Linked DNA regions of Rhinolophus ferrumequinum. The protein of the gene in region 1 interacts with the protein of each later gene in a biochemical or structural test. Links are inferred from orthologs where the notes say so. Each region holds a gene or a part of one and is shown in the gene's direction. Other genes may lie near its edges.

Region 1 (8,004 bases):
GGCCCAGCTTACACAGTACTGACGCTAACATGTTGAGAACACGTAGCAGCGGTCCAGTGAACCTGGGCTCTAAAACCATGTTTATAATAACTCTATTATGTCTATTTAGCCCAGTCTCCACCTTTTTAAGATGGAAGAAAACCAAAAGGGTTCTGCTGTGGCCCTGCCAGGAGAAGCTACTATCCAGTTTGGACAAAGTTAAAAAGAGAGAGTTGGTATAAAAGTACCTGAATCCCAGCTTCAGAAGCTCAGCTGGGCCTCTTCCAAAGGCAGTTTAGACACCACCTATCCCCCCACCTTCTGAAGCTCAGGTTGGGGTGGTGTACAAAGGGTCCTTCCCTTCCCATATGAGATTTTTCCCAGGATCATCTCTTCCTGGCTCAAGGCAAGCTGCAGATCCAATGTACACTAAATCTATTAACTACGCTTTAAACATCACGGGTTTTAAAACAGGTAGCTTTTTCTATAAGAACTTGATGATATGAGACGTCAGACGTAAGAGTTTCACAGTAAATCAGGTGTGCCCAGTACAGAGAGGTTAGCCTGGGTACCAGTTTCCCAGTGGCCTCCTGCTCTGACAGTGAAGTTTTTTGAGAGTCATTTTTACAAGTCCTGGGACATCCACTAGAAAAGCTAGAATGGTGGCTGCCTTTGCATGGGAGCAGAAGACATCCTACCTTCTGAGCCCTGGCACGGCGCCTCTTCTGGATACCACACCTGTAACAAGTCTTGTTCAAAAGGGAAGAAAAACAGCAGAGAATCGGAGGAGGACGAGAAAAGAAAAAAATTAAAGTAGCAAAGGAAGGAAAAAGTTTTAAAACTGTTTAACTGTTTCATCTGTTAACTAATAAGTGCCCAAAGTAAAAAGTTCAGAAAACTAAGAAAAAGATGAAAAATAAAGATGACCTATAATCTGACAACTTGGAGAAAATCACTTAAAATTTTTTTGTGTGTACACTTGCATACTTTTCTATGCAAATTTATATATAGATATGTTTAAAAACAATGGAATATATAGTGTATAAACATACATACCTATATCTACACATACTAATTTGTTGTTCACTTTTTTCTCTTCACAATTTATTGTGAAAATCTTCCAATAAATAAATAGTTGACATCATCATTTTAATGGCTATATAGTGTTCTATTATAGATATAACATAATTTACACACTAAATCCCTTATCAATGAATTTTTCCAATTTTGCACTATTATAAGCAATGCTATAATTACTTACCTCATAGGTATACCTTTGCAGTTGTTTGACTCTTTTTCAAAAGTAAAATTGCTGGGTCAAAGTTATATAGTTTTTAAAAGGCTTTTCATAAATGTTATTCAATTGTCTTCCAGAAATGTTATACCAATGAACACTCCCACTAGTAGGGTGTGGGTATCAATTTCCCCATGTTCTTTTAGTCTTTGGCCAACCAGGTAGTTGAAAAACTATATGTTTGCATTGCTTTGGTTACAAGGGAAGTTGAATCTCTTCACATGTTTACTGGCCATTTTGGGATGCAATTGCTTTCACATGTTTTTCAACTAGAGTATTCAGCTTTATTTTCTTGTTGATTTGTAGTAAGTCTACATCAAGGATTCTTACCCTCACTGTATGTATTGCTATTGAGTTATCACTTAACAGAAAATTAAAACTCAAATGTAACAATAAGGCAGGAAAATAGTTTAACTAGTAAGATTAAAACTAAGGACAACGCTACTTTAAAGGCAAGAGAATAAAAATATCAGTCAAGATAAAACAAAGAAAGCCCAGATAGAAATAGGAAACTTTAAGGTGAAAGAGACAGAAAAATAAAAATAACCAGTACCAGTCAAATCAAAGAGCAATTCTAGAACAATGCTACATTCTAACTTCTATAATATAAGCTGTCCATAAGAAAATGAAACAAAACTGGGGGGTATAGATGACAATGTGACTTATCTCAAGTAGGCCAGGGACAGTGTCATGGATCTTTAGTCAACATCTCTGTAGCAACATGCACAGATCAAAATGGGGAAGAGTATCAAAAATCTTTCATAGTACCCTATATACTTGTTCAGACCATTACCAAATCCTCCAGAGGAGGCCAAATCTATTTAAAGCTACATTTAAAAAGGGCAACAGATAAACAGCGAGGCAAAGAAAGAATTACAAAAACAGGATGAAGTCCTGATGGGAGCAGGTTAATCTGTCATTTTAATTGCTTTGTCTCTTCTTTTTGTTCACTAATTAGAGTAAGAAGCTATTAGAGTTACAGACGCTAAAAAGTGACTCTTCTTGAAGAAACCATAACCAATGAGATGCCTCACCCCACCTACTCCAGATTTCATGTAAGAAAAAGTGATTCTCACATGGAATTCCAAAGGGGTCTGTACCTTCGGAGTGGTTTTTCTGAGGGTGCATGACAGTTTATCTTTGAAAAGGAGGCAGATATGCACACACTGCTTCCATGTCCATTTCGTCTTTACAAAAGTCCTATAAGATCTGTTTTACTGTTTCCCCATTTTATGTATCAGAACACTCAGGTCCAGAAAGGGTAAGTGATTTGCCTCATCAAGGTGTTTTCAACAGTGTGCACTGTGGCGCTGTAATCAAAAACAACTCTAGACCAGTTCTGTCCAAGAGAAACATGATGTGGGCCACATGTGCTAGTTTAAACTTGATAGTAGCTACATTAAAAAAAAATTAAAAGAAATAGGTGAATTAACTTTAATAATATATCTTATTTAGCACACTATATTCAGACTATTATCTTCTTAACATGTAATAAACATAAACATTAATTAGATGGTTTGAATTTCTTTTTTTCATGCTAAATCTCTGAAATACAGTATGTCTGTTACATTTACAGCACATCTCAATTTGCACTGGCCACATTTCAAATGTCAAGTGCATTTCAGATGCTTAATAGCCACATGTGCCTAGTGGCTACCACTCTGGATAGCCTGGTTCTAGGCCAGTGGTTCTCAAGGTGTGGTACACAGACCAGCAGCAGTAGCAGCCTCTGGGAACTGTTAGAAGTGCAAATTCGAGGGCCTCATTCCAAACTTAATGAATCAGACCCTCTGGGTGTGGGGGCCACCAATATGTGTTTTAACAAGTCCCTTTCTGATAATTCTGATATACACCAAGGTTTGAGAACCATTGCTGTAGACAGTTACACATTCAAATAAACCTAAGACGGCCATGACAGGCTAGTACCGAGGAAAAGGAGTCCCTTCTCTTGAGATAATTATCTTCTATGGAAATCTTCTAGTCCTAGTTTTGGTTCCATTTCTTGGGACTACGGAATGAATTACCAGACACATAATTTAAACATGGTTTCACTTATCATTTTGTTTAAGGAGAGAAAAAAACCACAGTGACTATCCTATACTATCACCTTGAGTTTAGGTACTAACTTCTATTGTCCTCAGTTTCCTCATCCATAACATGAGGATCATTTAACAAATGTTAGCAACTTTTTAAAATGTACTTTGTACAAAAAGGAAAAAAGTACCTGTCAAAACAGCAAAAGAGGGAGATATTTTAAAATTGCAGTTAAAAAATTAGTGGGCAGGAGAGGTAATATTATAGATTTTGAGCACAGAAGCAGAAGCCAATTCACTTACATTTCTCAGAACATTAGATTTGCTGAAGGGGGATGGTAGGGTTCTTGCCAAAATCGTTAAGGAGAATCAATCTAAGCATGCCTTAAAGTAGAACTTTCAGTAAACAGGAATTACCTATGAAGAAAATCAGGAAGCCAAAGTGTTTCTTTTTATGAAGTTACATCCTGCCATAGAAAAGCTGGATAGGAAATAAGGACTGATGCACTCCCAAATGTATACTAAACCCGCTATTATTTCATCAAGGAAAATCTAGGCAAAAGCTCAGATTCAGTGAAGGGAAAAGAAAAAAATATATAAGAAGGCTGAATGGCATGAGAAACCAAAGACAACCAATGGCTACAAGTAAACATGACTTTGGAAAAAGCTACACAAACAAATCTCTACTCTGTGATTGCAGATTCCTTCATCACTGCCTGCCCTCTCTGCCTGCTTTCACCATTTCAGTTATACTTCTTCCAGACTTTGGCTTGAACATAAATATATATGTGTGTACGTGTCCACGAAAATAGGAGACTAATAAATTAATCCTAATTTCCTCCTCCTCCTTATTATTAGTAATATTAATTGTGCGTTTCCAGGGCTCTCTTCACTTTTCCAGGGTTCTGTGATGAGATTCTACCTTGCTTCTCACTCTTCGGTTTGATCAGAGAAAACGCTTTCAGCACCCTAACACTTTCCCAATTTATCTTTCCACCTTCAAATGAAAAGACACCAGAAAGGCAAGATAGCCCTTTCTTGAGACAGGTTCCCATGGTTTGGGGGGAATGGCAGATTTCTTTCTGCAGTGGCTGTTGCAACCTTCCGCAAAGCAGAAACTGCAGCCCACTCTCTCCCCTCCGTTCCCCACCCTAACCCACTACCTCACAGGTCTACACAATACTTAAAAACACACACACAACTCCTTCAACCCTGCATCCCATCTCAACACAACACGCCAGGATGCCCGCGGCCACTGTTACGCTCAACCCACTCGGTGGCCCCACCCATTTCAGTCCCGCTCCCGCCTCGACACCAATGGTCGCCGCTTATAGCTCCCGAGGGGCCCGTTGATAGGGTAGCGGGGCCTGCCACTCTCAGGGTGCGTCCCGCCCCCTCCTCACTCCGGGCTGGGGCTTGAAGGGCTGGAGCATCAGCGCTGGTAGCTGCTAGCAGCCGCGGCAGCAGCGGCGTGTCGTTGCAGTTGCGCCATCTGTCAAGAGCGGAGCCGGCGGGGAGGGGGCTGCCGCGGGAGAGGAGGAGGGGTCGTGTGAGCCGAAGGCCGCGGAGACCCGCCCGCCCGCTGGCCGCGGGAACAGAGGCGAGGCTGCCCTCGCAGCAGCGCGTCCTTCGCGGTCCGGTCGCGCAGCGCTTCACCCAGCGCACCGTGGACTCCCGGGGCGCACACAAAGCCGCCGCCTGAGCCGCACCGCCCGGCGGCCGCCGCCCGCGCCACGAAGGGATCCGGCCGCCGGGCCGGGAACACCCGGCGCCGCCCCCTCGGCGCTCTCCGAAGGCCCACCGGCTCCCGGGCCCGCCGAAGCAATCGGAGCTGCCTGAGCCGCGCTGGAGGAGGGCGGGGAGAGGACCATGTGAATGGGTTCCGGAGCCTGAGTGCCGAACAGGTAAGCGGCCGGGGATGCGCTGAGGGAGGCCGCGGGGATGCTGCGGAAACAGGCTGCAGGCACCCCCGCGCTCCGCTGCCCCTGCCGTGGGGCCCCGCGCTGCAGTCTCTTGGCCGCCGCCGCCTCTGGGGCGCCCCGCAGGGCTGCCGGGGGGTTGGCCCCGTTCGGAGTCTTCCCGCGGCCGAGCCGGAGGTACCTCTGCGGGGTGCGGCTCCGAGTTACCGCAGGAATAGGGGCCCATTTTCTCGCTCGTGAGCGGGCGCGGGGTGAGAATAGGAATAGGCTTGGAGACCAGGCTGGCCCAGACTCCGCCCCCGCCCTCCTTTCGGGGGCCCCCCGCGGGGACCCAGGCTGTGTGTGTGTTGTTTCAATGTCAGGGATGATGTAATCACTTAATAATTGATGCCCCGTGCTACTTCGCTCCCCACCCCACCCCTGCCCCACTCTTCCACCTCTCGGCCTCCTCCTTCTGCGGCCGTCTCCTTCCCCATCGCATCCTCCTGCCTATTTCTGGCACCTCCCTTGCACTTCCCCCATCCTCCCCTTCACTCTTCCTGTGCCACCACCCACCCACCCCTTCCCTGTCCCCAGTGCTGGAGACTTCGCTCCTCTTTCTCTGCTCCCCACCCTTTTTCCCTCAAGCTCCTTTCTCCTCCCTTCCCTGTTCGCTGGATTTCCTCTCTACTTCCCTAGATCGATGACTATTTTTGTTTGGTCGCCTCCCCTCTCTTATCTCTGCGGCCACTGGCGGAGGGGACTGGGCCAGAAAGAGGCCACCGAGCTTGGGCCCGGGCGGAGATTTGCTGGGACTCAATGAGAAGAGGGATAATAAAATCACCCTTCTTGCCCCTCCTCCCCCAATAAATCACACAGACTCGCCGTGTGTGTGTGTGTGTGTGTGTGTGTGTGTGTGTGTGACACAAAGAGCTCTTTCAGTGCCCGGAGAGGAGACACACAAAGTACCCAAGGATGGGCGCAATGCTTCTTGTTTCTCTTTCCTGGGGCGCCCTTTCTCTCAGATAAAGCAGTTGATCTTCTTTCTGAGAGTCTTTCCTGCCACATTTACCAAAAAATAAATGGCCCCAGATGCAGGGTGGCAGGTGCTAGCATTTTGCTGTATTCATGGACCGGTAGTGTTGACTGGCAGCTGCAGTATTTCTTAGATTTAAAGGGGAAATGATTCCAGCCATCTTAAGAGTTGCTTTACTTTCAAGGTAGCTAGCCACCTACCCAGCCCCCTGCCTTGTTTTAAACACCTCTTTTGAGGGGTATGGGTACTAAGAGCTGGGGTAGGATAAATTGGTGTGGGGCAGAGATTTTGTTTCTGAATCAGAGAATTAAATTCCTGTTTGATATGAGTGAAGCCACCTGACTTGCTTCTTCTCTCAAGTCTAAGGAGCGCTGAAGCCCTTTGAAGTGAAATCCTGACTGCCCAGTGATTTTTGCTTTGCCCTTATATTCAAACAAGTTCCTGGGGCATTAATAACACAGCATTAAATTGATGTTTGGAAGACCACTGGAACCTGCCTCCTCCCTACTTCAGGGTAGCCTGCAGACACCCACATCCTTCCTCTCACCAACCGAGTGACCGACAGACCTTCCACCCTTTGTGCGCTCTTTCTCCTGAGTCCCTGCCCCATGGGTACTGTGAAGAGACTCGTAGATTTTAGGAGGAAATGGTTTGTTAACTATTTCAGGTTTTGGGTACGCTTAGCTAGGAGCAAAGGATGTATAGAATCTTTTGATTGAACTTGAAATCACCTGCTTGGTGTTCCTCTTAAACAGGAAATGTTAATGTAAATCTGGGGGCTTAATGTTCCGTTTTGAAAGCCAATGACTATTACATGCTTAATCGATAATGTGATAAGGTAGGTTGAAACCGTTGATTCCTAAGAGCGTAGCTCTTTGTCATAAGTAATAGAATGCTCTCAAGTTTGTTCCTCAAGATTTTTATTAGAAAAGAGTTGTTGTAATTCATTAAACATTTGCTTCTGTACTTTCTAAGGACATTCATCATGGAACTTTTTATATTAAAGAAAGCAACAGGGTTAATGAGTTCACTGTAAAAAACAAAGGGTTGTTTGTTTGATGCCAGACCCAGGAAGGAAAGTCAGTGTACAGTAAATTCGCATTCTGTTGACCAAGTTAGGGACTTAATGATAAGTTTGAAAAGTGAACAAATGCACATTTGGCTTACTGTGCCTTTACTCTGTGTTATTTTCTGGGTCTGGAATCTTCAACCCCATCTGATTGGCTTGGGTTCTAATTAACCTTTGGGGCTCAGCTCAGAAGTCATCTCCTCTGTGAAGCTTTCTCCATTCCTTCCCCTCCAATTTTGTTTTCAAATTTCAGCAGCAGGCATTATGTTTGACAGGTGTCTGTCGTTAGTTGATCAGCACATTGAGAGAAGGAACTTGGACTTATTTATTTTGTTTCAACAAATGTAAGTTAGGTCTTTGGTATGTGTTAGGCACCTGAATTAATTATGCTAATGTTAGCAGCTATAACAAGTAGGCCTGCAAAACTATAATAGCTCAAAAGCAATAGACATTTCTTATTCCTCATGGCTTTCCTCCATGCAGTGATTCTAGGCATCACGCTTCACCATCCCACTGGTGCTCCATTGTAATCTGCTTTCAGTTGGCAGAAGGACAAAAGAGGAAATGGAGGGAGTGCACCTACTTTTTAAGTGTCTTGGCCTGGAAATGGCACCCATCACTTCCATTTAACATCCTTTACAGGAGAGCTAGTTATATGGCTACATTTAACTGCAAGGGAGCCTGAGAAATAGATG
Region 2 (5,547 bases), on another chromosome or scaffold:
ACACTCTCAAGTATAAATACTCTGTCCTGTTTTCCCCATAAGCAGGCTTGCCTGGGTCCTCATTTTTATTCTAAACTCCTGTCCCCTCAGTTCAGAAAGGATCCAAGTCTTCAGTGCCTTTCCCAGGCCCCTCCAGACCACAAAGGTCCCAGGTACCCATTAAAGAGTGGTTACAGGGCCCACTCATCGATTGCTGCTGTGTAAATTGATACATCTACAGTAGGCAATTTGGCAAAATCTATCAAACTTACAAACACATAGACCCTTTGTCCAGAAAGTCCACTTCTCAGAATTCATCCCACAGATACACATCCTCTCTGAATTATGGAATAACCTAAATACAGGATGAGATATTGCAGCTTTGGTTCTAATAGCAGAGGACTGGAAATTACCTAAATGTCCATCAATAGATAACTAGTAAAATATATTATTGTAAATCTATACAGTGGAATAATGAGCAGCATTAACAAATGAGGAAACTCTATATGCATTGATTGATATGGAGCAATCTTCTAGATATAATACGAAATATTAAAAAATCAAGGTGAAAACTATATACAGAGGGTGCCAAAAAATGAACACACATTTTAATAAAGAAAAACACTGTACTAAAATTGTAATACTTAATATATAATAAATATATAATATATATATTTATATAACATATAAATATATATATTTATATAATAAATATATTTATTTATTATATAAATATATATAAATAAATATATATTTATATATATAAATAAATATATATATTTATATATATAAATATATATAAATATATATATAAATTATATATATAAATTTATATATATAATATATATAAATTATATATATAATTTATATATATAAATATATACATAAATAAATATATATTTATATAATAAAATTTATATAATATTATAATATATATAATATATAATAAATATATAATAAATATAATAAAAGATGAATACAAGTCATGTGTATACATTTTTTTGGCACCTCTAGTATATAGCATACTTTCATTCATTTTTAAAGGAAAAGTTTATCTATGCATTTGCTTTTTATGTTTTTTTATGCATAATGTAGCTTATTTTTAGCTGAAAAACTTCATTTTTCCTTACTAAAAATATGATATTTTGTGATGGTATATAATATTGTTGAATGATAACCCTATCTCAATCTATTAAAATATTGACATTTGTTTTATTCACTCGTTTATTTACTTAGGTGAAACATCATGCAACAGCTAGTTATTTGGTGGGAAAAAAATGTTCTCATGTCTGGAAGATATATAGATAAGCTTAAGAATAATAGGTACCATGAGAAACTTTAAGAATGTTTCTCTGGAATTTGACAAAATTCCCTGTACTTCTGTCTCTTCTAAATTTCTACAATAAAGCCTAGTACACTTAATGGAGCCGTCCTTTAAGAACACACATATTTACTTTATCACAAATACATAATATCAAAAGGCATTGCATTCATTCAACAAACATTAAGATAACACTGCCGTCAGATGCTGAGGAAACGGTGACAAACAAACAAGGTGGTGCTGCCACAGGAGAGAGTGGATGAACACACAAATAATAGTCACACTGTGCTAAGTGCTATGGAGAAAAATACAATACGGTACATACGGTGAATAACAGACACCCAAAGTTTTCTCCTTTCTGCCACAGAAAGTACAAAAAGGAAAGAAGAGAACTAAACTGCTGGCCATTCAATGACACTAAAATAAGCCACACTGAGCATTTGTCATGGCTGATAAATTCATGAGAGGGACTGGGATTTCAGCAGAAAGGAATATTCCAGTGGAATGATGGATTAATTCCATTCATAATCTAATTGGAAATGGACAATGCCTATCAGTGGCCCAGGATAGACATTTAGATATTAATAAAATAAACAAAAAGCCTGAAGATAAATATTCTTTGAGATTTAAAAACATACAAAGCCTGACAGCCAGGAATACGGTGAGAATGAAAATAGGAATGTACAGAGGCCCTCTGCCTAGAACCAGAAACCTGCGAAACCAAGGAGTAGTGTTATAAAGGTATAGGAACCCCTCCCCCAGCCCCCAATGTAGCTAGTGGCAAATTAAACATACACCCACACACACATACATACATACACAGCCTGGTAAAAGAGAGCTATTCAAGGTCAATGTGATATCTGAGGGCTCTATCCTGGTAGGTGAAAGGTGAAGAATATGAACAGGTAATTGCTTATCCCATATTACACACAACAGTCTCAGAACAGCATGCCGAATTTAATTTCTGAGAGTCAATTAAAATTTTTTTTGCATATCCTTCCCATTTTCCCCTTATTTCTAGGGTTGTTCCATACCTGCATTGTCAGATCAGATAACAGCCATCATAAGCACTGCCCTGTCTCCTCGCTAACCCTCAGTAAATCTTAGTTCTACAGTAACTTGATGTTGAAAGCTCAACACCAGCCCTAATGGCACTGTCTCTAACCATTTCAGTTGTCTGTTAACTTGTCCTCTAGAATATTCCTCAGTAAAAAACTGTCTTCAAGATGTTATTCCATTTTCCTGTAACATAAAGCAGTATTGTCAAAAATCTGATGATAATCTAATTCATTTTTTGAGTGACTGTTTTACCTCTTGCCCAAAGGATTTCTTTTCTTTGTTTAAATCCAAAAGTTTTACTAGATATGTCTTGGTATTAGCCATTCTGGGTTGGTACTCGCAGGGACATGGTAACTTTCAGTGGGCAGTTTCCAATCTTTTTGTACTTCAGGAAAGTTCTCTTAAATTATAGTTCTGTTCCACTGCCCTGTTTTTCTCTTTGGAGACCCACTGTTATGCTGATATGAAACACCATCCGTGCGCCACGTCCATCTCAGTCACCTACTTCCACCACAATCCCTACTTCTCTCTCTTCCTGGCACTCAGACCACAGTTACTACAACACTCGCTTTTCAATTTTCTCTCTCACTTCCCTGCTTTCTCTTTCTCTCCTCTCCCTAGACGACAATGAACTCCTTAAGAACTATCTCATTGTCTTATTCATCTTTTCTGTATCCCAAAACTGTCTTCAATTACTATAGCTCTGAGCTCCTTGTAGATAGTCATCGAATATTCTTGTAATTGAATAAAATAACCTCTTTGCCCTGAGACCCCTCTGATTAGCTCCATAGGGATTGTCATAATCTGCTTCTTGTAGTGAAGTAGAGGACATGATAGGGATCTGAAAGCAGAAAATGCCTTTAAATTTCCAATAGGTGGCTGGGAGCCCTAGAACCAGCTGTCTCCTCCCTATGGGCCTTTCATAATCCACTGTCATAATCCTGGATGAAATGCATAGGCTTATTCTGCTAGGTTTGATTGCTTAGCTTAGAAAGTAGTGCATAGCTTCATATATCATTATTAATAAGAAAGAAAGGCCATTAAAATTTTTGCTTATACTTGCTGGGTTTGTGATTGTTTGGGTGTAATTCACTTTGCCTACCTTTCACACTTGCTTTGTTTAATAATATTTTTCTCAAAACGGAGTTATTCCTGATTCTCGTTTTCATAAAGGATGTAATTTTCATGCACTAATTAAAAACAGCCTCTTACTTTGTCTTTGACTAATATTGCATTGATGTATTCCAGGTCGTTAAACTGACAGTCCAAGTATTGTTTTACTTCTACTAGTTTTAAATAACTTTTTATCACTTTTTATTTCTAGTCAAATTAGATTATGATCATTGTTCTCTTCCAAAATCAGCTGTAAACTAGAACAGAGTTTTCCAATGTTTTTGCTTGCAGAGGCCCCCAAAATATTTTCAAAAACTACTTTAAAAAGTTTCATTATATGTTTACATAATCCCTTCCAGCACTTTATACTTATTAATATTTGTAAATAAAAGTGTTACATCACTTTTAAAAGGTTCCTTCTTCAACAAATCAGTCTAATCAATACTCAGCAGTCTGTCGACAGACGAGGAATCTTAGGGTGGGTTTATTAAGCCCCTAGACTCTAGACCTGGACTGCCTGAATTCCGATCCCGCTCCCCCATATACTGTGATTTTAGCAAGTTATCTATTACCTCTGTCCTGTTTCCTCATTCACAAAAACCGCACTGAGAATAAGCACCTCGTAGCACTCATAAGCACATACATGGCACAAAGCAAGCCCTAGCGGGACATCAGATACTACAGCTATTAGAACAAGTCTTCTTAAAAAGACACCGTCTTGGTGTCCGCCCCCCACGCTCACGCGCACCGCCCACAGACGAGGCCGCACCCACCGCCGCAGGAGCCCGCGCGCCATAAGAGCTGCGCGCCCGGCCCCCACCCCCACCCGCTCCGGCCTGAGGGGCTGCAGCTCCAGCGATCGCTGGGACAGGACACCAGCACAGCACCTCGTGCTGAGTCCCTGGAGGCAACATGACGGAGTATAAGCTCGTGGTGGTGGGCACTGGCAACGTGGGGAAGAGTGCCCTGACCATCCAGTTCTTCCAGAACCACTTCGTGGAAGAGTACGACCCCACCATCGAGGACTCTTACCGGAAGCAAGTGGTTATCGATGGGGAGACGTGCCTGTTGGACATCCTGGACACGGCCGGCCAGGAGGAGTACAGCGCCATGCGGGCCCAGTACATGCGCACTGGCGAGGGTTTCCTCTGCGTGTTCGCCATCAACAACACCAAGTCCTTCGAGGATATCCACCAGTACCGGCAGCAGATCGGGCAGGTGAAGGACTCGGACGACGTGCCCATGGTGCTGGTGGGGAACAAGTGTGACCTGGCTGCACGCACCGTGGAGACCCAACAGGCGCAGGACCTGGCCTGCAGCTACGGCATCCCCTACGTCGAGACCTCGGCCAAGACGCGCCAGGGCGTGGAGGACGCCTTCTACACGCTGGTGCGTGAGATCCGGCAGCACAAGCTACGCAAGGTGAGCCCGCCAGATGAGGGCAGCCCCGGCTGCATGAGCAGCAAATGCGTGCTCTTCTGAGTGCCCGCTCGTCCCCCGTGCCCGCCTCCACCGGCTCAGGCCTGGCGGTGCTGGATGCTGGGGGGAGGGGAGAAAGGCTGGTGCGGCCACAGCCCGGCCAGCCCACGGTCTGTGGCCAGTGACCGCAGGCCTCCCAGGACACTTTGCATAGACTGTCGTGAACTGATGCCATTCTTTAGACTTTGCTGATAACTTAAATTAACTTTAATAAAGAATTGGGAGATCACTCCTTTCTGTCGGTGGACGCCACCGAGGAAGCATCGTGGAGGTCTCCCCATCCTGTGGTCGTCATGTCTAAGTCAGAGTCTCCCCAAGAGCCTGAACATCTGCAGAAGCCCTTCATCGGAGGTTTGAGCTTTGAAACTACCGATGAGAGTCTGAGGAGCCATTCTGAGCAATGGGGATCGCTCACTGACTGTGTGCTGAGGAGAGACCCAGACACCAAGCGCTCCAGAGGCTTTGGGTTTGTCACTGATGCCACCATGGAGGTGGATGCAGCCGTGAAGGCAAGGCCACACGTGGATGGAAGAGGTGTGGAACCAAAGAGGGCTGTCTCAAGAGGAAATTCTCAAAGACCCGGTTCCCACTTCACT

What was found.
Region 2: the proteins of FYN (region 1) and GTPase HRas-like form a complex in vitro, tested with the Homo sapiens proteins (2 studies listed by BioGRID and IntAct). The link is inferred for Rhinolophus ferrumequinum from reciprocal best matches to the Homo sapiens genes FYN and HRAS.

What each region holds. Positions count from the first base shown.
Region 1 is NC_046286.1:63,827,439-63,835,442, reverse strand, and holds the start of FYN (tyrosine-protein kinase Fyn), read left to right. Parts: upstream 1-4,709; 5' UTR 4,710-5,210; intron 5,211-8,004. UniProt on the Homo sapiens protein: Non-receptor tyrosine-protein kinase that plays a role in many biological processes including regulation of cell growth and survival, cell adhesion, integrin-mediated signaling, cytoskeletal remodeling, cell motility, immune response and axon guidance.
Region 2 is NC_046304.1:5,548,060-5,553,606, forward strand, and holds GTPase HRas-like, read left to right. Parts: upstream 1-4,369; 5' UTR 4,370-4,384; coding exon 4,385-4,954; downstream 4,955-5,547. UniProt on the Homo sapiens protein: Involved in the activation of Ras protein signal transduction. Ras proteins bind GDP/GTP and possess intrinsic GTPase activity.